4 linked regions of the Tribolium castaneum genome follow. The protein of the gene in region 1 purifies or fractionates together with the protein of each later gene. This does not show direct contact. Links are inferred from orthologs where the notes say so. Each region holds a gene or a part of one and is shown in the gene's direction. Other genes may lie near its edges.

The links. Proteins that work in one complex are often made in the same cells at the same time.
Region 2: the proteins of 7SK snRNA methylphosphate capping enzyme bin3 (region 1) and serine/arginine-rich splicing factor 7 purify together in Homo sapiens (affinity purification with mass spectrometry; 3 studies listed by BioGRID and IntAct, with this or other methods). This does not show direct contact. The link is inferred for Tribolium castaneum from reciprocal best matches to the Homo sapiens genes MEPCE and SRSF3.
Region 3: the proteins of 7SK snRNA methylphosphate capping enzyme bin3 (region 1) and U4-U6-60K purify together in Homo sapiens (affinity purification with mass spectrometry; 4 studies listed by BioGRID and IntAct, with this or other methods). This does not show direct contact. The link is inferred for Tribolium castaneum from reciprocal best matches to the Homo sapiens genes MEPCE and PRPF4.
Region 4: the proteins of 7SK snRNA methylphosphate capping enzyme bin3 (region 1) and Prp31 purify together in Homo sapiens (affinity purification with mass spectrometry; 3 studies listed by BioGRID and IntAct, counting the BioPlex papers as one, with this or other methods). This does not show direct contact. The link is inferred for Tribolium castaneum from reciprocal best matches to the Homo sapiens genes MEPCE and PRPF31.

The regions. Positions count from the first base shown.
Region 1 is NC_087395.1:19,349,704-19,355,901, reverse strand, and holds the start of 7SK snRNA methylphosphate capping enzyme bin3, read left to right. Parts: upstream 1-1,989; 5' UTR 1,990-2,144; intron 2,145-5,929; 5' UTR 5,930-5,934; coding exon 5,935-6,198. UniProt on the Homo sapiens protein: S-adenosyl-L-methionine-dependent methyltransferase that adds a methylphosphate cap at the 5'-end of 7SK snRNA (7SK RNA), leading to stabilize it.
Region 2 is NC_087395.1:18,120,930-18,126,112, forward strand, and holds the start of serine/arginine-rich splicing factor 7, read left to right. Parts: upstream 1-2,250; 5' UTR 2,251-2,390; intron 2,391-2,488; 5' UTR 2,489-2,496; coding exon 2,497-2,689; intron 2,690-4,750; coding exon 4,751-4,943; intron 4,944-5,183. Other genes in the region: ester hydrolase C11orf54 homolog, read right to left, coding at 1,101-1,268, 1,315-1,490, 1,535-1,633, 1,682-1,761, 1,824-1,879. UniProt on the Homo sapiens protein: Splicing factor, which binds the consensus motif 5'-C[ACU][AU]C[ACU][AC]C-3' within pre-mRNA and promotes specific exons inclusion during alternative splicing.
Region 3 is NC_087397.1:1,344,188-1,349,552, forward strand, and holds the start of U4-U6-60K (U4/U6 small nuclear ribonucleoprotein Prp4), read left to right. Parts: upstream 1-2,432; 5' UTR 2,433-2,573; intron 2,574-2,633; 5' UTR 2,634-2,637; coding exon 2,638-2,806; intron 2,807-3,947; coding exon 3,948-4,485; intron 4,486-4,532; coding exon 4,533-4,931; intron 4,932-4,977; coding exon 4,978-5,365. Other genes in the region: zinc finger protein 131, read right to left, coding at 1,253-1,540. UniProt on the Homo sapiens protein: Plays a role in pre-mRNA splicing as component of the U4/U6-U5 tri-snRNP complex that is involved in spliceosome assembly, and as component of the precatalytic spliceosome (spliceosome B complex).
Region 4 is NC_087395.1:18,106,439-18,111,726, forward strand, and holds the start of Prp31 (U4/U6 small nuclear ribonucleoprotein Prp31), read left to right. Parts: upstream 1-2,355; 5' UTR 2,356-2,450; coding exon 2,451-2,787; intron 2,788-2,840; coding exon 2,841-3,664; intron 3,665-5,288. UniProt on the Homo sapiens protein: Involved in pre-mRNA splicing as component of the spliceosome. Required for the assembly of the U4/U5/U6 tri-snRNP complex, one of the building blocks of the spliceosome.

The DNA.
Region 1 (6,198 bases):
TTATAAAATTTCATGTCTTTTTTTAGGAAAATCTGAGTTATAAAAAAGGTTAAAAATCAAGGTAGAAAGCAAATTCAACGTTGTTTTTTTATGTTTTAGTTGAAAAACGTATTTGTTGAAAGAAAAGCATAAAAAATAGGAAAATGAGAAATAGGCAAAAATGTGATACACGTATACAGAGTGTTTTATCTAAAAATTTCGAGCGTAATATCTTACTTATTTGTCAACGCATTGTTAATAAATGTAAAATGCACATGGGTATTTTTAAAGTGATCTTTCAACTATGAGTAAAAAATTACCTCAAGATAAAAAATGACACTTTAACACACGTTTTTTGTATTACAATTACTATTAGATTATTCAATTCTGAAAAATAGGTGGCTAGACAAAATATTAACCAAACCACTCGTCTGATTCAAAGATAAGATTTTGTTCTTAAAAACATGTTCCAAATTTTGAAAGTATTTGAACACCTTTTGAAACAATTTATGAAACATTGCCAAGCAGCATTTTGTGCACCCTTGAAAAAGCTGTCAAAAGTGTATGTTCTATTAGAAAAGACCTTTTTGTTTAGTTTAGTCCATACCATATCACCTCCTTAAATATCTTACATTATTATTTTAACACCTTGTACCGGGTGCTCAACAACAGCCGCACCAACTCAATGCTACGCGGTAGAGAAATGCTTTCATAAAAAGGTAAAAATATTTTTTTTTAATTGGTAAATAACAAACTTTAAAGAAATGATTGTGGCAACGTTGTCTAACAATCGAGATCGCAATAGATCCCGATCAACAATAAAAATGAATAACTTTTGAAGTGGTTTCATAGGAAATCCCAATGTTGGCACATCTACAAATTGTGATTTTTGGATAAATTTTATTTTTTTAAATCCAAGGAACTGCTAAAGTCAGATAGTAATTTTTAAAATAATTATTCATTACGTTGGGGAACGATTACTTAGTGTGAAACATAGAAACATTAAAAAATAATGAAAACTGAAGAAGTCAGTAAACTAAGTTTGTAGCTTCATATTTTTTTGAATATGACTAGGAATTTTTTCAAGATTTTTCATATGATCTACACATGCTTTCCAACATTTTACCAGTGAGCTGGTGCACCAGTTTTGGAGCAGCCTGTATATTTCTTGAAAGAGATAAAATTATGAAAAGAAAAACTGACTTTGTGGTTATAGATATTTCGCCAGTTGTCCAGTTACCGCTCGTAAAACGTCTAAAAACTAATAACCTGATAAAAATTTATTTCAAGGTCGACAATTATTTATGTTTCTAGTATACCTAAAGATACAAACCAAATTTTTTAAGACTATTTGCCATTTTCACCTTTAACATGTCATAATTTTGCAAATAAAAATTACTACTAGATAAAGCATAAAAAGTCCGATCGAAAAGATACAGAAGATGGTTTCATAAACTATAAAGCTGCATTCAAACTTAAATATCTATTTTCGCATTGGAGTAATAAGGTAAACATCACATCGAGATCCTATAAATATGACTAATAAATAACACACTTTGTACAACGGAAGACAAGCAATTTTGGCACGTCATCCAAAAATAAAATACAAATATATTGTCCAAAAATATTTACGAAGTGCATTCGAAGCAGGTGTTACAACAGACTATAAACAAAACTTTTCAAGAATGTTTCCAATTGTGAATTCAGCCACTCCTTCAGCAGGAAAAACTAATTATTTCCCAATAATTATAAGTGGTTCGAATTTATGATCATTTGCGCCAATAAAACTCCAGGACCGTATCGACACATTTTCAAATAATCAATTCCGGTTAATTAGGTCGCGAATTTAGAACGTCGAAAAAACGCAATCATCCGCAATACCTTTCGGTTACCTCCCCAATTACCCGAAAATTACATAATTAGGAACATAACACTTTTCAACTCCTCGCTAAATCGCCCATCGTCCCTCATCGGCTCCGCTTCGGCAAACTCCGGCACTGATATTAAAATGGAGTCTAGTTTACAAGCACAACGATTTGTAGTCGTTCAGACGGTGCGTTGCAAAGTGAAGTCTCTTTTTCGGCCGTTTTTCAGCGGAACCTAAGGGAAAAGTGGCCCTCAAAGGGCATCAAACGAAAGCTGAAGCCACGCCGGACACGTTGAAGGTAAATTTTTTGACATTTATGTAATCTGTGAGGAGTTTTCGCCCAAAACGATAGCCAACGTCGATCTCCGCAGTGGCATACATGTTTGTTCCGGTGTGCGCGTGCGCAGTGCCGATTTTTTGCGGGAACTTGGGGTGCCGGGCTTTTTCGAAATTTTCGTAAATTTAGAAGGGCCACCGCTGAGGTGAACTTCGGAGAGGGTTATTTAGTCGGGAGTTTGCTCAGTGGGAAGGTTCCTAATTGAACACTGCTTTCGCGGGTTTGTTATCAAATTGCGGGAATCCGGACGTTTATTATACGCTCCGGCCGGAATTTAACGTCACATTTTTAGTTTAATTAATTTAATCGATGGTAATTAATTATCTGATTTATTTGAGGTGTTGTGTATTATACCGATTACGATAAGAATAATTTATTGCAGTTATTGGTGCATTTAGATTGGTCATAAATATTTAATGTGTTGACGGATTAAATTAGAAATAGTCAAATCCTTGATCTTAGACAACTGTAACCGAAGTGCGACCGAAAAATCAGAATACACGCAACGGCTTGTACAAGAATACAGAGTATTTATAAAATGTCTATCATCAAGTCACCTAAGTCGAATTTAATCGCTATCTTCTGTCAATATACTTACATTACACCCAGATATTTGTAATTAATTTGTAATTTGGCTGTTTGACAAAAATGCATGTTTGCATGAATAATGGCAGTTTTGTTGTTACTTTTTTTGTAATAAGAATCTTTTATCGTTGATATTGCGTGTGGGTTATTTATTTTTACATATTTCATTGATAAAAAATCCAGGCATATAATATATGATTACTTCGTTGCCAACACGTTAGATCTTGTTACAACTGACATTTTGCATATTGAAAATATAGCCAAGCTTCAAACCGTGCCGAAACCAAGAAATAGTTGAGTATATACGGGGTGAGTCTGCTAAAAGTATGTTTCACTATTCTCAGAAACTAATGGTCGCACCGCATTCAGTATTCACTGTTAAATACATAGTGACGGTTTATAGAAGCGTCAATAATCTAATTCGCAATTAAATGCGTGATCAACTGATCACGTGAACAAATGATTGGTCTATTCACGTTGTTAACTTTTAACAACGAATTAAAATTTAAGGGAGCTTTCTATAAACCGGCCTATTAAGTTTTTTGCTATGTATGTGAAATTTTTCCAAATTTTTTTACTCTTCTTTACAAGGTGATTCAAAAGTGTCGGACAAACTCTCGTATGGTGATAAAAGACATTCAATTAAGGACAAAAATGAAGTTAAATATTTTTTCTAAGAAGTCATTTTTTTATATATTTTTTAATTTGTTTTCTTTAGCAGGTGTATCGATTTTTGCTCTTTTGTTTCCTATGATGTCGAATTTTATTTATTAGCGAATTTGCGAGTTTTTTAATTGTTTTGTACATCATATGACATTAATTTTTGATTTTTTTGTCGTTTACGCAAAACGTCAAAAAACATGTAATCTGAATCACCAAAAACTTAACTGAAAAATTCTACTTTGAGTAGTTATAGCTCGTGGAAAAAGGCTAAAACAATTTTTGTCATAGGAATTTTTAATTCTCTTTGATGTCCTTTATCCGCACCCGAGAGATTGTCCGGTAATTTTGAATTACCGTTAAGTTAATTTATTAAATTTGTATTAATATAATGAAATTAAAAAAATGGGGTTGGTTTATGGAATCGTCATTATTTTAATCCACAATTAAATGCGTGATTAACTGATCACATGACCAAATTAAAGCAATTTGGTTGGTCCATTCGCGTTGTTAACTTTTAACAAGGCAGTTAACTTTAATTGAGCTTTCTATAAACCTGGTAAATGCGCCCAAAGAATTATATTTTAATAAAGCTTTCTATAAACCGACCCTTAGTGTTATTCTAAAACAACGATGTCTAAATGTTTTCGAGCAAAAATTCTTATAAAATAAATTTTGGTAGCCCTAAAATTACGTTTATTTAAATTTTGAATTTATAACTTTATTTATTATTTTTGGGGCTAGCGACATTTTTTATGGATTTTTATCACAGGACAACATTTAAGTATTGCTTGTTTTCAGATGACACAAAAAATAACAGTTAATAATAATTAATAATTCATAAATTTTAGGACCGGTTTATAGAAGCGTCATTAATTTCACTGATTAACAGATCACGTGACCAAATTGAACCAATGTGATTAGTCTATTCGCCTGTGATTAGTTTATTCGCGTTGTTAAGTTTTAACAACGAATTAGAAATTAATGAAGTTTTCTATAAACCGGCCTATAATTGCTTAAGGAATTGTAGAAAAATTCTGAAAAAAATAAATTAAATTAAGTTTTCAGTTGATTTTAAGAGATAATAATTAAATTGCTTGCAAGTGGTTGAAATAAATGAAATATTACGATAGATTTTTTTTGGGTAAAATATTTATACATGGTGTTGGTAAAAACAACGGTGTAACCCTTCGCTTACTGCAAAATTACAAAAAAATGTAAAATGGCCATTTTTTTCTAACTAATTTGTCTTTACAGCTAGAACTTAAGTAATAATATTGTCTTATTAGGAAGAAGGTTTTAAATAATTGCAAAAGACGAAATACCTACTAGACAACATTTAAAAAAAACTAAGAAGAATCTTTGCCTTGAAACACCTTTACCTTTACATTTCCTTATAAGTTAATTAATTTAGTTAAATTTAAATTAACTTGAATCGTTGCATAAAAGTTGACATGGCTTAGGGTTTATAATACATACTGATAATCAAAAACAATTTTATTATGTTGAATAAATATTGTATATTTTTATTTTGGTTTGCAAGAAGACATTTTTGGTATGTTTTACTTTTTAAGTCAACAATTAATAGTTGAAAAAGATGACCTTGACCTAGTTACACTTTTCGGTTCTTGTCATCACTATTGCATTTCCGCCCAAATATAGGTGTTCTAAAATTCGTAAACAAATAAATTACAAGGTGTGTTAGCACAACCTTTATTTATTAATTTAAGCTTCAATGATTCAATGCTGACGCATTTTCAACATTCAATGATCATGTTTCACGATCCATAGAAATAAAAAACTAATAATAATTGAATTAATTGAATCTGTCTAATTTTAAACATGCATCGCCATTTTAAATATTTAATTTTCTTTTTTGAATTTATCGACAAATCAGATTTTTTCGTCTCGTCTCGTATTACGTAGGTGGATGGTGACGTCGTCGTAAATTTATAATTCAGTCTATTTTTATGCAAAATAATATCGACAAATTTAATAATTTCAGTAAATGGGCTAGTAAGAATGTAAACATCGTAAAACCTCTTTGTGTTGTCTTGACGTAACTTTTATCTCGACATCTTGTTTGTGGAATTTTTCAGCTGCATTGTAAATAAACCCGCCTGAATTATGTATTTTCACAAAAACCATACAATCCAAAACAATAATTCAATTTTTACACTAAGTAACTAAAAATTGTTTTTCCGTTATCGAAACTTTCTCTTTTAATCTACGAGCGTTAGTTGAAAATTCTGAAATATTTTCACGGATGATGTTAAAATAGAAAGTTTACTCATCCGAAACACAAAGAAACGCGCGCGATCTTTGTGATTTAATTAATTTTGTAACGCGATTTATCCAATCAGACCATGACCCACAATATATTTAGAAAAGTGCATTTAGAACAGCGGTTTTTGTTTATTTTGGTTGAATAACCGGTCTGTGACAATTGAGTATCGTTTGTCACGGCCAACCAGGCACCATCTAACGCCATATTTGCTTAGGAAAAATGTCATCGACCGGCATGGTCCTCGAACCCCCGTCAAAACCCCACAACAATTACCGCCCCCATCACAACAACACCAACTCGAAACGCAAGTCGAAACATGACCGCTCCGGCCGCAAACGCTCGAAAAGTTTCTCCGGCTGTGGCCTGATGATGGACATGAAGCCGGTGCCTCCGACCAAATTCCTCCTCGGGGGCAACATCAACGACCCCCTCAATCTCAACAGCCTCCAAGACGAGGATATAAATCGGGCCATGAACGCCATC
Region 2 (5,183 bases), about 1.2 Mb from region 1:
AAATATATACTTTTGTTCAGTTCAGTTCATTAAAAAAACATTTTCCTATAATAAAACTGCCCACCTCCCATTAGGTAACACCTCTCCATAACGAATAATTAAAGAGTCCCCATGTCCACTGTTGAGAGGTTTTACTGTATTCCTTTACTTTTAACCGCCCTAACTCTGTTAATTTGATTAATAATATCAAAATAGTCGAAAGAACATTTCTTATAAAAAAGCCAAAAAGTGGACTCAATAGAACTTAATTACGAAATTTTAATTCATTCCAAACTATTCTTTTGGCATGTCATTTATTAATTTTTTAATTATTTACCATTTTTAGCTCTCGAAATGTTTTCAAAGGCGGTGACTTCGTTTCATAAGGAAATATGCTTCGATTTTACCTCGAGCGCATTTTGTAAATTGCAGTAACTAATGATTCTTGCACCAAAAACTTATTTGAAGCATAGCTTCATTTTAAAATAAAAAACTTTTTCACATCTCGAAATTTCACCATACAAACATGCAGCGACGTTACAAGAAAATGTAATTTTTTCGGTTTCCCTTTATCAAAATTCATCTTTGTGTAACTACGTAAAAATCTGCATTTATTGTGAAATCTGTTGCAAAAAAAAATAAGCTTCGTGCTTTATCCAGAAGGAAAATACAAGGATATAAACGCAAAAGGTGTCCAGTTTTCGATTTTTGTAAATGTTTCGCTAAAAATTTCTTTTGGTAACAAAAACAATTTTAAATCCAAAAACGACCTTCGGATTCGAATTTAACAGAAGATTTTACATAACAATCAAGCGTTTTTAATAGTTTCTTTAAAATTGTACATTTCAACCCTTTACACTTAATCACCCTCTGTTAATGTGAATAATATCAAAAAAAGACTAGAGGACTTTTTCATGTAAATTGTTTTGCTTAACAATTTTTATTTAAAACTTTTTTTCTAGCTCTTACCGATTTGGAATAATCTTTATAAAACACTTTATTTTCGTTTCTTCAACCCCTCCTCTTTGACTAAACATTTTTAAATACCCCATAGTAACTTATAACAAAAATTCAAGGCTTATGCGACTGGACTGTTTTGTATATTAATGTGTTCGTTTTACCTTTCCCGGCTCGCCGCTGCTGAAAAAAAGATTAGCCAAGAGGGCAACTCTGGTTTCGTTATTAGGGAGAATCTCCTGTATAGGCACTTCCTCATTCGAGGGATTAACTTTAGAAATGCGCGTTTGTTGATCCACCACCCCTTTGGCTATATTCATGTTTAAAATACCCTAAAATCGTGGGATAAATCAAGTTGTTAAAAAGCAAGTCTATTACTTCGCAATTGACCCCTGCGTAGGGGTGAGGACCGGCTCCAGCCCCGATTATAAACGCCGGATCTGAACCAATCATTGTGGCTATTTTTTTCAAATCGTATACTTTTTCCCGCTTCACCAGAGGGAGCAAGTAGGGGACTCCCCCGACTTCGACCAGTTTTGGACTTCCACCAAGTCCTAAAATTTGATTCAATTAAAGTAGAGAGGGGTTTTTGGACCACCTTTTTTGGCCAAAGTAAAAGGTTGTTGTGTCAGGTCGGGACAATCCACGACTTCGACAGTGACGTGTTCAAAATTGCTTTGCAGTCCTTTGTTTAAAACTGTGGACAGGAAATTAGTACTGTTGTTATTAAGGGGGTCAAACAAACCTTTGGCCAGTTCCTCCAAGGGGGGCCTATCTAGAGACTTCTTTTCGATGGATAGGGTGGTGTAATTGACCTCCATGGTTCTGAATGAAAACAAATGTAAATTAATCGCTGGGTAAGGTCAAAACAACGTCCTCACGCTCACCTACTTAACCTTAAACCTAAGTTAATGAGTAAAAATGGATAGAAGGGTTTGAACATAATTTAACACAAACACCCCGTATTGTGATAGTGATTGGTATAATTATTTAATTAAAATTGCGAAAGGACTTACGCTAGTTATAATAATGCCAAAGGTTTTCCCAGTCTCTTAATAATAACTCCAATCAAAAATGATAATTGCAGTCAACTAGAGGTCAGATTGTTTTATCGCACGACCGGAGCGGAGATTAAATTATTACATGCTTGAAAAGTCCTCCTTTATTTGTGTAAGGTCGCCAGATAACGGCTGTTGTTTCGTGGTTATCTAATGACTTTCACATTTTAAAACTCGCGCCGTTTTCGCCCCAATGTTGGTAGCGCCGTTGATCAACAAATCCTCGCGTTCCTATTGGTTGGCAATTTGGAAAAAATGTTTGCCGAAGCTCCATGTTGCTCGCGCTGAAAATCTCAAAGAAATAATCAAAAACTCCAAAATAAAAGTGATAATTATTATCTTGCCTTGAGTAATTAAGAGTTACGTGTTCTGGAAGTGGTGGAAGTGGCGTTAGAGGTAGGTATTTGTGGTTATGTGATTGATTTGTTGTGGATGTAAACAAACACCGGGCGCGTCCTTGGCGATCGATAAAGTTCATTTTGATTTTCTTCCAGTTGTGGAAATGTCACGGTACGGCTCCGATTGTAAAGTTTACGTTGGTGATTTGGGAAATAGCGCCTCCAAGCAAGAGTTGGAGGACGCGTTCAGATATTATGGGCCTTTGAGGAACGTGTGGGTGGCCAGGAATCCGCCGGGGTTCGCATTTGTCGAGTTTGAGGACGCCAGGGATGCAGAAGATGCAATAAGGGGGCTGGGTATGTATTTGCTTTGCGAAATTGGTAAAGGGGTGTTTGAGGTAAATGGGCGTGTAGGCGTCCTCCATGTTGTTAGTGTGGGGAACGCACAACCTGCTCCTATCGATTTTACCCACTCTTCTAGCTTTTTTATAAATTGCATTAAAGGTGAAGGTTTTTGTTCAGTATTTTTATTACTGAATTTTAATTTGGCGATACTGGTAAGCAGGTTAGCCAAAGTAATTGTGCCCAGTTTGACCAACCTAAATTTTTTTAAATCAACCGGAAATGTCAGTGTTAAAATTCCTACAAGCAAATTTACGCAAATTTATGTAATAAAAGAAGATGGTGTTGGTAGTTTTTGATTTATTTGAAACAAATGTAGTTAAATTTGAACAAGAAAAAGGAAAACAGCTTGGAGATGGAAACAAAAACCGGGACAAGTTCAATACCTCTTATAGTTTTTGAAATTTGGGGAAGAAATCTGAAAATATGTACATAGAAGTCTTAAAACGAAATCTGTACCTTAATGAGTTTCATTAAAGTACATACGGGTCACAAACATTTGACGCATTTGGATTTTTCTACACTGTTTTTAGTACTATTACTTTTGCACAAAACAACATTTAAGCATCCTTTCTTTCAAGAATTATAAGAGAAATAATAATGTATACACAGCCGTTAAAAAAATCCGGACACTATTTTTTTAATTTAAAGTAGCTACTTAATTAATTTAATTATTTTTAATTTTTATTTATCAGGTTGTTTTTGGTTTAAATTGTATTTTGTTATTCAAGACTGCTTATCAGATAACAATGTGACTCAGTGGATTGTCATCAACCATCCTTGCTGGACGATTAGCTGCTGACGTTCGTAAAAAGTAAAAGTAAAAATTTCACCTCCAGCTGTTCGGAGGTGACTCAAGGAAGCTAAATGATTTCTAAATGACCAGCAGCAGACCCTAAATTAATGGTAGCCTATCAAAGGTCACAACTTAAATTAGTACACCAGTATGTGAGTTGAGAATGTAAGAACGTACTCTTTACAGATGAGACTAGATTTAGTCCATCACCAGACGGTCTGGAAAACTTGTGGCAAAGTCCGAACAAACCATTCAATCAATACTGCATATCATCCAGAGCTGGATTTAATAAAGCAGTAATATTGCATGATCTGCGCAGGTATATCTTTAGAAACCCATACCGATTTGGTGTTTGTTGAAAACTGGACAATATCACCACATAGGTATATCCTCGAATGTATAGAATCACATGCACCATTCATTGTCGAATTTTTTTTATGGATGATAAGTTTGTTCAAATTCCTCAAGAATAGTTCTCACACCCATCCTAAGCAACCCATATCGTTTAAAAAACGTTATAAGAGCTCTTGGTTGTAACACCCTGTTATTAGTCTTAAATTTGGATTTTTTTTTTGTCTTTTTTTTAATAGCAATATAGGAACTACTCTACTCACTGCTAAGATGTTTCTTGGCAAAACACAATTTAAAAGTTGTGATAATTTTGCATGCACCACAACAGAAATTTTGGAGGTGTCCCGAATTTTTTGAGCGTCAGTGTATATTTATTCAGTCCCTTAACATTAACTAATTGATTTTAGTTAAAAGAAATTGGCAAAATTCTAAAAAAATACACTAGCATGTTTTTATAGCAGACCATAGGAGAGTGCTTTGTTCTCTCGCTTCTTTTATTTCATTCCCTCGGTGTACATTTACCTAATCTATGATTTTTTATTCAATTTGTGTTGCGTGAAGCTAACTTATGCTCATAACAGTGTGCTTACGTGCAACCTGTTTTTATCAGAATCTCTGGATTATATTTTTAGACTCAAGTAGCGATACATTTTCTCAGGTGTTTAATAATAATGCTTTGAAAGGACAGATGTGCGTCAACAATTCCTAAAACTAAAAATTTTAACCATGTTTCAACATGGAAATCTCAATAAGTGACATAAACGAAACAAAAACAAAATTTTTCGTCATGTGCCAATTTTCCAACCAACAATTTCACTTATAAGTAATCTCAAATCAGTAAAAGAGTCTAATGAGCCAAATTTTTGCAGATGGTCGTACCATTTGCGGCCGCAGGGCTCGTGTGGAGATGTCGAACGGGAAGAGCGGAAGCGGCCGTTATAGAGGTCCCCCGCCTCGATCTCGTGGGAGGCCTTTCCATCCCGACGACCGTTGTTACGAATGTGGAGACAGGGGGCATTATGCAAGAGACTGTAATAGATATAGACGTGGTGGAAGGCACAGGTGTGTTATTTGTCTTTGTGGGGGTCGCAGTCCGTTAGTCGTTAAGTCAGTTTAATTTAATTTTGTATTTTTTCTTTTATTGTTAATTTTATTTTTGAATCAATTTGCTGTACAATTGGATCGTGTGATTTATCGGGTTTTGTTTTTGTTATTTTTGTTTTTAATTGGTGGTTTTGGCGGTCCAGTTGTGCAGTAATGGGCGTATAAAAGCGAGCCGCATAGCGGTGTGATTGGCTGACA
Region 3 (5,365 bases), on another chromosome or scaffold:
TAATTGGGCTTGTTGGTGCTTTAATTGCTTTTTTTGTAATAATTATGGGGCGTTTGGGGTTTTATAGAGTTCCTATATTGGGAGAGTTGGGACACTGAATGTCAATTTTCGAAATTTTGTTTTATATACGTCGGTTGGAATGTGTAAAAAAAACAAATTGGGATAGAAATCAGTGGTGTTACACTTGAAATTTGGCGAAAAGTCAAATAAATTTGTCAAAAAATGTTTCCATTTTTCGTCGACTAACTGCGTTTAGAAATGGTTTAGACTGGCAGTCGTCGTCAATTCACTGTTTTTTTTATATGAACTCCACATTTTAAAAGAGATTTCTTTGTAAGTACAAGAATTTTACGTCTAAACTCTTCATCATAAACATTTTTTCCTTAACTTTAAGAAATGGTAATCATCGATGAAAGAGAGAGAAATTGAACCTTTCCAGCCAAGTTTTACATTTTTATTAACAAGCTTTTGGAAAAGTTGAGCGTCTAAATAATGTTATGTACAAAATCTATGAGATTTTGGGAATTTGTCTATGTATTTACAAAATACGTAGGTACTTGAACCCAAAATTGGTTCTAATTTTTAGGAAAGTTGAACCTGTCGCTGCTTGGCCGCTTTTAGCATCTACGTGAACTTTAGATTCTGTTTCAAATTGTAAAGTTATTGGGAATTCACGATTTTGTTACGTTTTTCATACGAGAACACCTTCAATATCATTTTTTAGAAAATTTAAAAAGACGACAGGGAATATGAAGGGTTTTTGATGACCAATTTTTGGGAAGAGATGTTTTACTAAAAATTGTGACTGAAAGAAAAGCATTTTTAGCATTGAAGTATGTTTTAAGTTATGTATTTAATATTAAAATAAATATTGAAAAATTTCAGAAATGTGAACGTTAATATTGGTAGGTAATATCTACGTTTCCTACGTCCCTGGTTAAATTTGACGTAAAATTATGTCATTTTATGCATTTGACAAAAATTATAACCTTGAAATTATTTTCGACATAAACCTTTGACATAAGTTACTAACAAAAATTTTAATAAAAAAGGATAGAAATATATACCCTATCCACATAATACAAAATTGGCTCGGTTTGACGTTCAGTGTCCCAACTCTCCCAATAAAGGAACTCTAGGGTTTTATTGACGTTGCGAGGAGAATCGATTGTTGGCAGTTTGCGGGCCAAGTGGAGTTTCTCATGGGGTCATGAAAAATTGAAGGGTTTTGCTTTTTTTAAAGGGGGCTTACGTGGTCGACGTTGATCTCTCCTTTGTACATGAACTCGACCAAGCACTTAATATCTACATATTTGACATCTTTCATGATGAGGATGGGGTCTTTTTCTTCGTACTGGGACAGGATGGTTTCGAAGTAGGTGCTGCAGGCGGAGAGGACGATCTTGTGGGCCTTGATGGTGCGCCCCTCGCAGGCCAAGGTGACGTCGCAGAAGGCCTCCTTCTCGAGGAGCTGCGAGAACATGGTCTGCAAGTTCGAATGGTGGTACCTCCATCTTAGACAATACTGTTGAGGCAGCATTTTTGGTTATGTTCGTCCAGCTTCCTTCCGACTGTTCGCGTTGGAGATGACGAATTTACCAAAAAGTAATGAGTCACCAGCGTGAGACCTTCGAAATAATCAATACTCGTCGGTTTTGGGGCCTTTGGGCGAGCGTTTGTTTTTTAAATCACCACCACTTCACTGGCACGGCACAACGCATCCGCAAGTCGACTGTTTTTGCGAGGTTTAACAATACAAAGTCCGGCCGAGGATTTCTCAAAAATTTGGAGACGCGTATGTAAATGTTCAGTCATTTGGAAAATTCCGACAAAAAATGTGTCCCTTAGTTTTTTATGAGTCAGTGAGCCAATAGAAACCACGTAAGACCCCTATAAACCATGTATAGTCCGTATATTCGCCGGGCCAAGCCTTTAAGGCAAATCAATACCGCACGTCTTAAAAAATTCTCGCGTAAAAAATCTTGGGAATTGTCGAGGTTTTTCGTCACACACAAATATTTGTCGAGAGCAACGGCTTTTCAGCCTAACTAACGGCACCAAACTCGACTAACGCAGATCCAAAACGGGGTCAAAAATTAAACCGACACAGACTCGGACTGTACTGTAATTAGGCCTTTCATATTTATTTTTATAAACTTGAGATTTTTCAGAGCCTGGGAAAGAAAGAGAAAATCTATCAACTGTTCAAGTTCAACGATCGGTCGTCGCGCCGATTTCGCACAAATTCACCGATTCTTTCACGATTTTCGCACACAAAACACCAGCACGGACATTGCACGGCTATTTAGGCGGTTTCCGCGGCACAACATCGTACATTTACTAAGATTTCCGGACCGAACTTGATAATCTCTCTCTCTCATGGAATTTTTTGGAAAAAAATTTAGACAGAGATAGCAAAACGCTATGTAAAGAAAACAGAAATATTTCTTTTGTGGAAGAAATCGTAAAAACTTGCCGTTGGCTACACTGAACTCACCAGGCGGTTTTGGTTACTTTTTTTGCGACAAATGTCAACTTGACGTTACGTTTTGAACCGATAGCAGTGATAACATGTAAACAAACGTTTTTTACGAATTAACTTGCACAAATACTCATTTTTGCTCAATTTTTAGCACCATGTCCGACGATGAGGACGCGCCTTACGTGAAAAAAACCAAAAATATTCACTACGGCTCGTTGGAGGAAGCGGAAAGAGCTAGGTTAGCAGCCGGCGATGGGAACGATGATAGCAATGAAAAGGCCGAAAGCACGTCGGCGAACCCGCCACAGGTTCACATTTCCACAGGTATTACTTTGGCATCCGTAATTTCGTCCAAATGCCAAAACCTCGCACACAAATGAGCTAAAGCTCAAGTCAACATCAGTTTAATGTAGCGCTAAAATATTCACGAAAAATCTAGTACAAGTGGTACATTATATATTTCTTATTCCTTAATGGAGCCTCGTGGCTCAAAACCCAGGTTCTGTTTTTTGTAATTTCTGTAAAACCAAATTTTGAGTCATGGAATCAAAGTTTTTTATTAGAATACTTAAAATCTTATTATTTATTTATTTATACAGGGTGAGTCAGTCATGAGTTAGTTCTGAAATCTGATGCAACCAGTAAAACTAATTCCACCTGTCCAGTTGTATTCCATTTTTTGAGTATATTGTTAACTTTATCTTAACAGTTTTGCCACTGATTTTGCTAAAACTCCTTTATGAACTACTATTTTTTCAAAAATAAAAAACCGAGTAATTTACCCTGGTATCTTTATTACATGAGAGTATTAAGAGTAAAATTTATCGTTGTAACTGATCGTTTAAATGAATTTCATCGTAATTTATCTCAAAAAAAGCTGGTAAGCAGAAGGTTAAAGTCTCAACATTGTAGCCAATATTTTCTCCAAATTCTTGTGATAAATTTTTTGCCAGTCGACATTTAGTGACATTTGAAGCGCTCAAGAGTGGCTTATTAACGGCCCAGTCAATAACTAGGTTCACATATTGACTCGAGTTGCTTTGTCATGCGAAATAATATGATTACAGATTTTTAAAAAAATATAAAACCTGAGTGATTCAGGAAAAAATCAGGTTTAATACAGCGATTAACTTGCACTTTGGCTTTGAAACTGACAGCCGCGGTGTTATTAAATCAAATGCTTTATTGCGCTATTAAATAAATAATTCGTATTAGAACTCCTTTAATGCCATAAATGCACAATAATATTAAATTGAAAAAAGTTGTGCCATAGGCCCCAGCTTTATATAATTTTTGCTTTTTAAAAAGAACAGTTTGTAGGTGTACCTACGAATGGTAAATAAAAAAAATGTTTATATAACAGCAATTATCACACAATTATTAAAAATGCGTGCTTAGGTGCCTGTTTTTATGTTAAAATCTTTCACTTGAATCTAATAAATACTGTTACGTTTAATTTATTCAGAATACATGGAGCTTGAGGACGCCATGTCCCGCGACAAGCAAGCCCTCTTGGAGGAATTCGAGCGTCGTCGTAAAGCGCGCTCTATTAACGTCTCCACCGATGACGCCGAAGTGAAACGAAACCTTCGCCAATTGGGAGAACCGATCTGTCTATTCGGGGAAGGACCGGCAGATCGGCGTTCACGCCTCCGTGAAATACTAAGTCGTATCGGTGAAGACGCAGTCATTCGACGCGAAGCCGAAGAAGAACGTAAAAATTTCGAAAAAGATCTCGAAACAACGTGGTATCATGAAGGCCCCGAAAGTTTGCGAATAGCCAGATTATGGATAGCGCACTATTCACTGCCGCGGGCCAAAGCCCGGCTTGAGGAAGCCAGAAAAGCGAAGGATTTATCAACGGCTACTAGAACAGCCAAGAAGCAGGAAATACAGAAAAAACTCCAGATTATGTCGATTTATTCGAGTCAGATTGGCGATTCGAGACCTATTGCCTATTGCCAGTTTAGTCCAGATTCGAAACTTTTAGCCACAGCTGGATGGTAATTATCATTTAATAAGTGAAATGAAATTATTTGTTTGATTCAAGGAGCGGGTTGTGTAAAGTGTGGTCAGTGCCCGACTGCACACTCAAACAGACCCTGAAAGGTCACGCCTGTAATGCCAGTGCTATTATTTTCCACCCTAGAGCAACAATCAGCCAGGAGGAAAATATTTGCAATATGGCATCGTGTGCAGCCGATGGTTCAGTAAAATTGTGGGATTTTCAAAGCGAGGAACCGATCGCTGATATCGAGGGCCATATGCCACATCGTGTCTCCCGGTTGGGCTTTCATCCCTCTGGAAGGTTTCTCGGGACTTGTTGCTTTGACTGTTCCTGGAGATTGTGGGATTTGCAGCAATGCACCGAAGTTTTACACCAGGAAGGACACGTCAAACCTGTCTATTGTATTTCCTTCCAGATTGATGGATCGGTCTGTGCCACAGGGTAAATACTTTTGGTAAATTGTGACAAATAATTAATTTCCCAACAGTGGTTTAGACTCATTTGGACGTGTGTGGGACTTGAGGACCGGAAGATGCATCATGTTCATGGAGAGTCACTTAAAGGCGGTTCTAGGGATAGATTTTTCCCCTGATGGCTACCACATTGCCACGTCTAGCGAAGACAACACTTGCAAAATTTGGGATTTGCGCAAACGTTCCGTCTTGTACACAATCCCAGCTCATACGAATTTAATTTCGGAGGTGAAGTTTCAAAGGGACGGCGGCGATTACCTAATTACTTCATCGTACGATAACACGGCGAAATTGTGGACAAATCGGACCTGGCAACCGTTGAAGACCCTGTCAGGTCACGACGGTAAAATCATGTCAGTTGACATCTCCCCCGATAATCAGTACATAGCCACGGCGTCGTAC
Region 4 (5,288 bases), about 1.2 Mb from region 1:
CTGTCGCCTCTAGCTAAGTCTTTAGTTGATTTTTAAACTCTTGGGAAAATCAAGTTTTTTCCGGTGAATTCGCATTCTTTGTATTAGTTTTGGAATAAGATAAAGTATGATTTTTAAGAAATTTAAACTATATCGAACTTTGTTACTACATTTTTTCCATAGTTTATTTAACTATAAGTAGGTTATAAAATAACTGATTTTGGTAAGAGGTATCCTTTCTTGGGCAAAACTTTTAACTAGATTTTAAATGATTATTAAAAAGGTCTTACTTGGTCTCACAATTTAGTGAAATTAAAAAAAAACTATTAGCTGTATTGACATCCATTACCTGGTACAATTTTAAGCTGGAGGTAGTAGGTAGTAATAATGCTTTTGACTTTTTGGAAAATTTTATTATTTCGTCAGTTATCAGAGAATTTGTTAATATTTTGTGGAATTGCATAATAATAATAATGGCCTTCAACACTACTTGAACTAATGTTTTAAGTCGTGATTGTTGTCAATTTGTTCATTAACTGCGGCCAATGTTTTTATTTATATTTTTTCCTTTTTATTAAATATTCATAAGAAATGTGTATAATTTATGGATATTTTCACGCCCACGCTATATTTTATACCGTAATTCGCTTTTGTTTTTGCATTGTTGATTAAGTTTTTCTCAGATTTTATGAGCTTATTCAGAGATGATCTTACAGTTTTATTTAAATAGCAGGTTAGTTTTTAGAAAGTAACCTTTTCCAAAGTTTTGTTTCGAAACATATTGTTTGTATTGGTATTGGTATTTTGTTCATTTACTCAGGGCCGCCACGAGAAGTGCTATTTTATTTGTTATCTGTTCATAAAAGGTATATATTAGCTATTTCAAAATTATAAAAACGCCAACGTCGCATTTTCTCTCAAAATTATAACTAATGTAATTTATACTTTCAATGAGAGATCGAATCGTTAATAACTATTTTACATTTCTATACTTATTCAAATTAAGAAGTAATAGAGATTTGTGGTGATTGTGATTAACTGATTACTGACTAGGTTCAATAAATAAAGGAACAAATATTTATTTATTAGAAGAATTTTAAGTTTGACATAAAATGTATGTATTAAAATGACATAATAAACATTTTCGTATATCCCAAAACCTGAAGAGTTTTTTAAAAAACTGTACTTTTTTAACCCAAATTTACAAATTGTGTAACTATACTGTAACTTTATATTCAAACAAATTAATACTGTGTGATTTTCTAAAATATTGGTCTAGTTATCCGTGACAGTTACGTTAACCCGATCTCCATTACGGAAATAAGATTCCAACATATTTTTTTTGGTTCTTCGGTGAACATTTTAGACATATTGACAAATAAAGCGATGCTAAAGTTATTTATGCAAAATGTTTCATTGATGACGTATCTGTCATGGATAACTAGATCAGAATTTTAAAAAGTCGGTTGGTAGTTTATTATAATAAGATAACAGATAAATTGCTTCGATTTGAAGCATTGAACTATCGTAGATGCCAAATAATTTTTAATTTTAAAAATGATCGCTTCCCTGTTGAATAGAAAACGGGTAATGAATAGGAATTAAATTATTTATTAAAAGATTTTCTAATATATTTTGTGGGTTTTTGCAATTATTTTCTAAAAAATGAATCTTAAAGCGTTAATTCCGTTAAATAAATCGGAAACCATTTTTAAGCTTTACGTGTAAGTCTTTACAATTTTTTGCTGTCTAAATCTTCTTAAAAAATTGAAGTTATTCACAAATACAAATGCATCGTTTTTAAAAAGAAGACACAACTTGATCCAAAATTTAATAAGAAAGTAAATTTTTTAAATATTTCTGTCATCTACCACAACTTCGTTAAGATGAATATAAGGTGTTCGTTTGTAGTCAAAAAGTTTTATTTCTTTTCTTCGGCATACAGTTTTATTCAATCCGGTTTTATTAAAATTAGTTGGTGCTTTGGCGTCCTCTGACTCCTTTTTATTTTTATTTGTATGCTTTTTTCCATTTATTTTTGTTTATTTTTAAAAACAACTATCTTAATATTCTAATTTAAAATGGTATTTAAAAGAGCTTTTGGCGAAGCAAGTTTGCTCTTATGTTCTTATAGTTATAGTTTTTACCAAAAAGTTGACTAAAATAAAAAAAAAGTTTTTTTTATTTAAATAACATGGCTTGAAACTACAATAACAACTGTTTTTTTAGTGATATATGTGTCCGGAAAAGTACTCTTTCACGGACTATATTCCGTCCCTTCACTAATTAATAATTATATTGTTTTTTTTCATTATCCCCAAATTAATAAGCAGATTATTATAGACAACCAGTAATTCAGCCCCACATTACAAGTAATCTATGGACACTTGTCAATTTGTAAACTGCATTTTTCTAACCTCACTTCCAAGTGTTGTGTGAACGTTTTGGAGTTACGTTTTTAACTCGCTAAAATGTCTTTGGCCGACGAATTATTGGCTGATTTGGAAGAAAACGATCAAGATGATTTGGAAGAAGCGATGGAAGTTGATGAAAAACCGGACATCAAAGAAGAAAAACCCGACGTTAAAGACATCCAGTTAGAGGTAGACACAACTCAAATAACTTCAGTCCGAGAGTTGTGTAAATTACGGGACTCGCCCCATTTACATGAAATATTGAAACAAATCGAAGACCATGTGAAGAAGAGCCGAAAATACCACGACATCATAGGACCAGTTGAGTTGGACCCTGAGTATCAACTGATCGTCGAAGCTAACAACATTGCTGCAGATATAGACGCGGAAATTGGTAAGAGTTACGATTTTAACCAAATCAGTTGAAACTAATCTGTTTTATTGAAGCCACTGTCCATAAATTTGTGCGCGACAAGTACCAGAAGCGGTTCCCCGAGTTGGACTCCCTTGTTGTTGGTCCTTTGGAGTACTTGAAGACCGTCAAAGAGCTCGGGAATGACTTAGACCAAGCCAAAAATAATGAAATTTTGCAACAATTCCTAACGCAGGCAACTATCATGGTTGTCTCAGTCACGGCATCCACGACACAGGGGATTCTCCTAACGGACGTCGAAAAGAAACAAATCGACGAAGCTTGCGACATGGCCATAGACTTGAACAACTTCAAACTGAAAATTTACGAATACGTTGAGAGTCGGATGGCTTTCATCGCCCCCAACTTGTCGGCGATTCTTGGGGCTTCGATCGCCGCCAAGCTCATGGGGGTTGCCGGGGGTTTGACCCGATTGTCCAAAATTCCGGCCTGTAACGTGCAATTGTTGGGCCAACAGAAGAAGGCATTGTCTGGATTTTCACAAGTGAATATGTTGCCGCACACTGGTTTCGTTTATTACGCAGATATCGTGCAAAATACTCCGCCTGATTTGAGAAGGAAGGCTGCCAGACTTGTTGCCACTAAATGCACGCTAGCAGCACGTGTGGACTCGTGTCATGAGAGTAAAGACGGACGTATTGGGCGGCAATTACGCGACGAAATTGAACGAAAACTGGACAAGTTGTTGGAACCACCCCCAGTTAAGTTTATCAAGCCGCTGCCGAAACCTATCGACCAGTCCAAGAAGAAAAGGGGCGGGAAAAGAGTCCGCAAAATGAAAGAGAGATATGCGATGACTGAGTTCAGGAAACATGCCAATAGAATGAACTTCGCTGATGTAAGTTTGGTTTTTCTTGTATTAAATTTTTCTAGTATTGAAAATATTTCTTACATTGAAAATTACACAATATTGTTAGCCAATCTACTGTTGAAGCAGCATTATAGTTTCATTAGATTTTGATAACATACTAGAGATCACAATCTTCTTTGCAAAAAGTTTTCTATGGGTTTGATGAAAATGCAGTTTTATTATTCTCTTGATACTTACAAGACCGGTATCAATAAGTTGTAACGAATAAGCGAAACACATAACTTCAGGTGTACCCCAGTGCTCAGTTTTGGGCCCAATCCTTTTTTTAATTGGGGTGTTCGATGTTTTAACGAAATAACTCCAGTTTTAGTCTTTTTGAGAAAAATATAGAAACGTATGCTATAAAATTTTCTCTTTCAAATGCAATAACTGGTTTTGTAATCGATTGATTTATTTTAATGTCATTAAACAGTAACAGTTGTTATAACACCGAAAATTTGTGGACATTTATTCAGTGCAATAATGAGATAAGTCCATCAATCGTTTTTTTACTAGTCTAGTGATTATTGTTAAATATAATGTATTAAAGCTTCCGTATTATAACTTATGTCAAAATAAGTTTAAAAAAAATAGAGACAAAAATGCAGTAGTAACATTGAATTGAGTTAAATTTTCACGGGTTTTTAAAAACCAAACGGCTTTCAATTTGAAAAAAAAGCGGTTTCGTCTGTAATTCTGTACTGCATTCCTCCTCTTCGCGTTTTATACTAATTTTTATTTATTTATTTTTCAAACAAAATCGATTACCATGATACTGAATGGAATCAAATAAACAATGATCTAAAAAGAATAGCCAAACATTGCAGTAATGTTAACTTAAAACTCAATGAAAATAAATATTCAGTCTTATACTTTGCATCTAAAAGTTGTAAATATTTTGAAGAATAATATATTAATATTTATATTATTAGTAATAAATTAAACGTTCTTGCAAAAAGAAAATCTCTAGGACTTACATTGACAGTGGAAAACACATTATTCATTATCAAAAAATGGTTCATCTCCTTGAAACTCTTACGTTCTAATTATCACATTCAGATTTCAAATTGAGAAATAAACTTATTGAAACTTTGGTAATTCTCCTTTATCTATTATTGCTTTATAATCTTATCCTTGTTTAAATGATGTTGATAGTTGAAAATAGATTATACAAAATTCAAAATATAATGTTATATATACAAAATTCAAAATATAATGTTATATTTTGAATTTTGTATCTTTGGCTTAAAAAAAATGTGATTACATTTCTAAGGTCGAGTTGTATCATCTTTAGTCCTGATTTAAATCCCTAACAATTATTCTCATAACAATGGCTATGGGTTTAATCCTGAAATTTTTTATACAACTCGACCTAAGTGTGTTTCTGACTTAATGTTGGAACTTCGGGATAAGATACTTGAGACTTCTAATAAAAGTATATTTAATATGAAAGTAAATCGAAATACAAAATGACGGAATTGATAAAAATATACACGGCACACTCTTATAAACAAAACTGTGGTTCACACGGAAACGAAACGCGACTCGTGAAACTTAGATGTCCAACACTTCCCCTCGAGTCGTGTGTCGTTAGAATGAATACTTCCAAAAA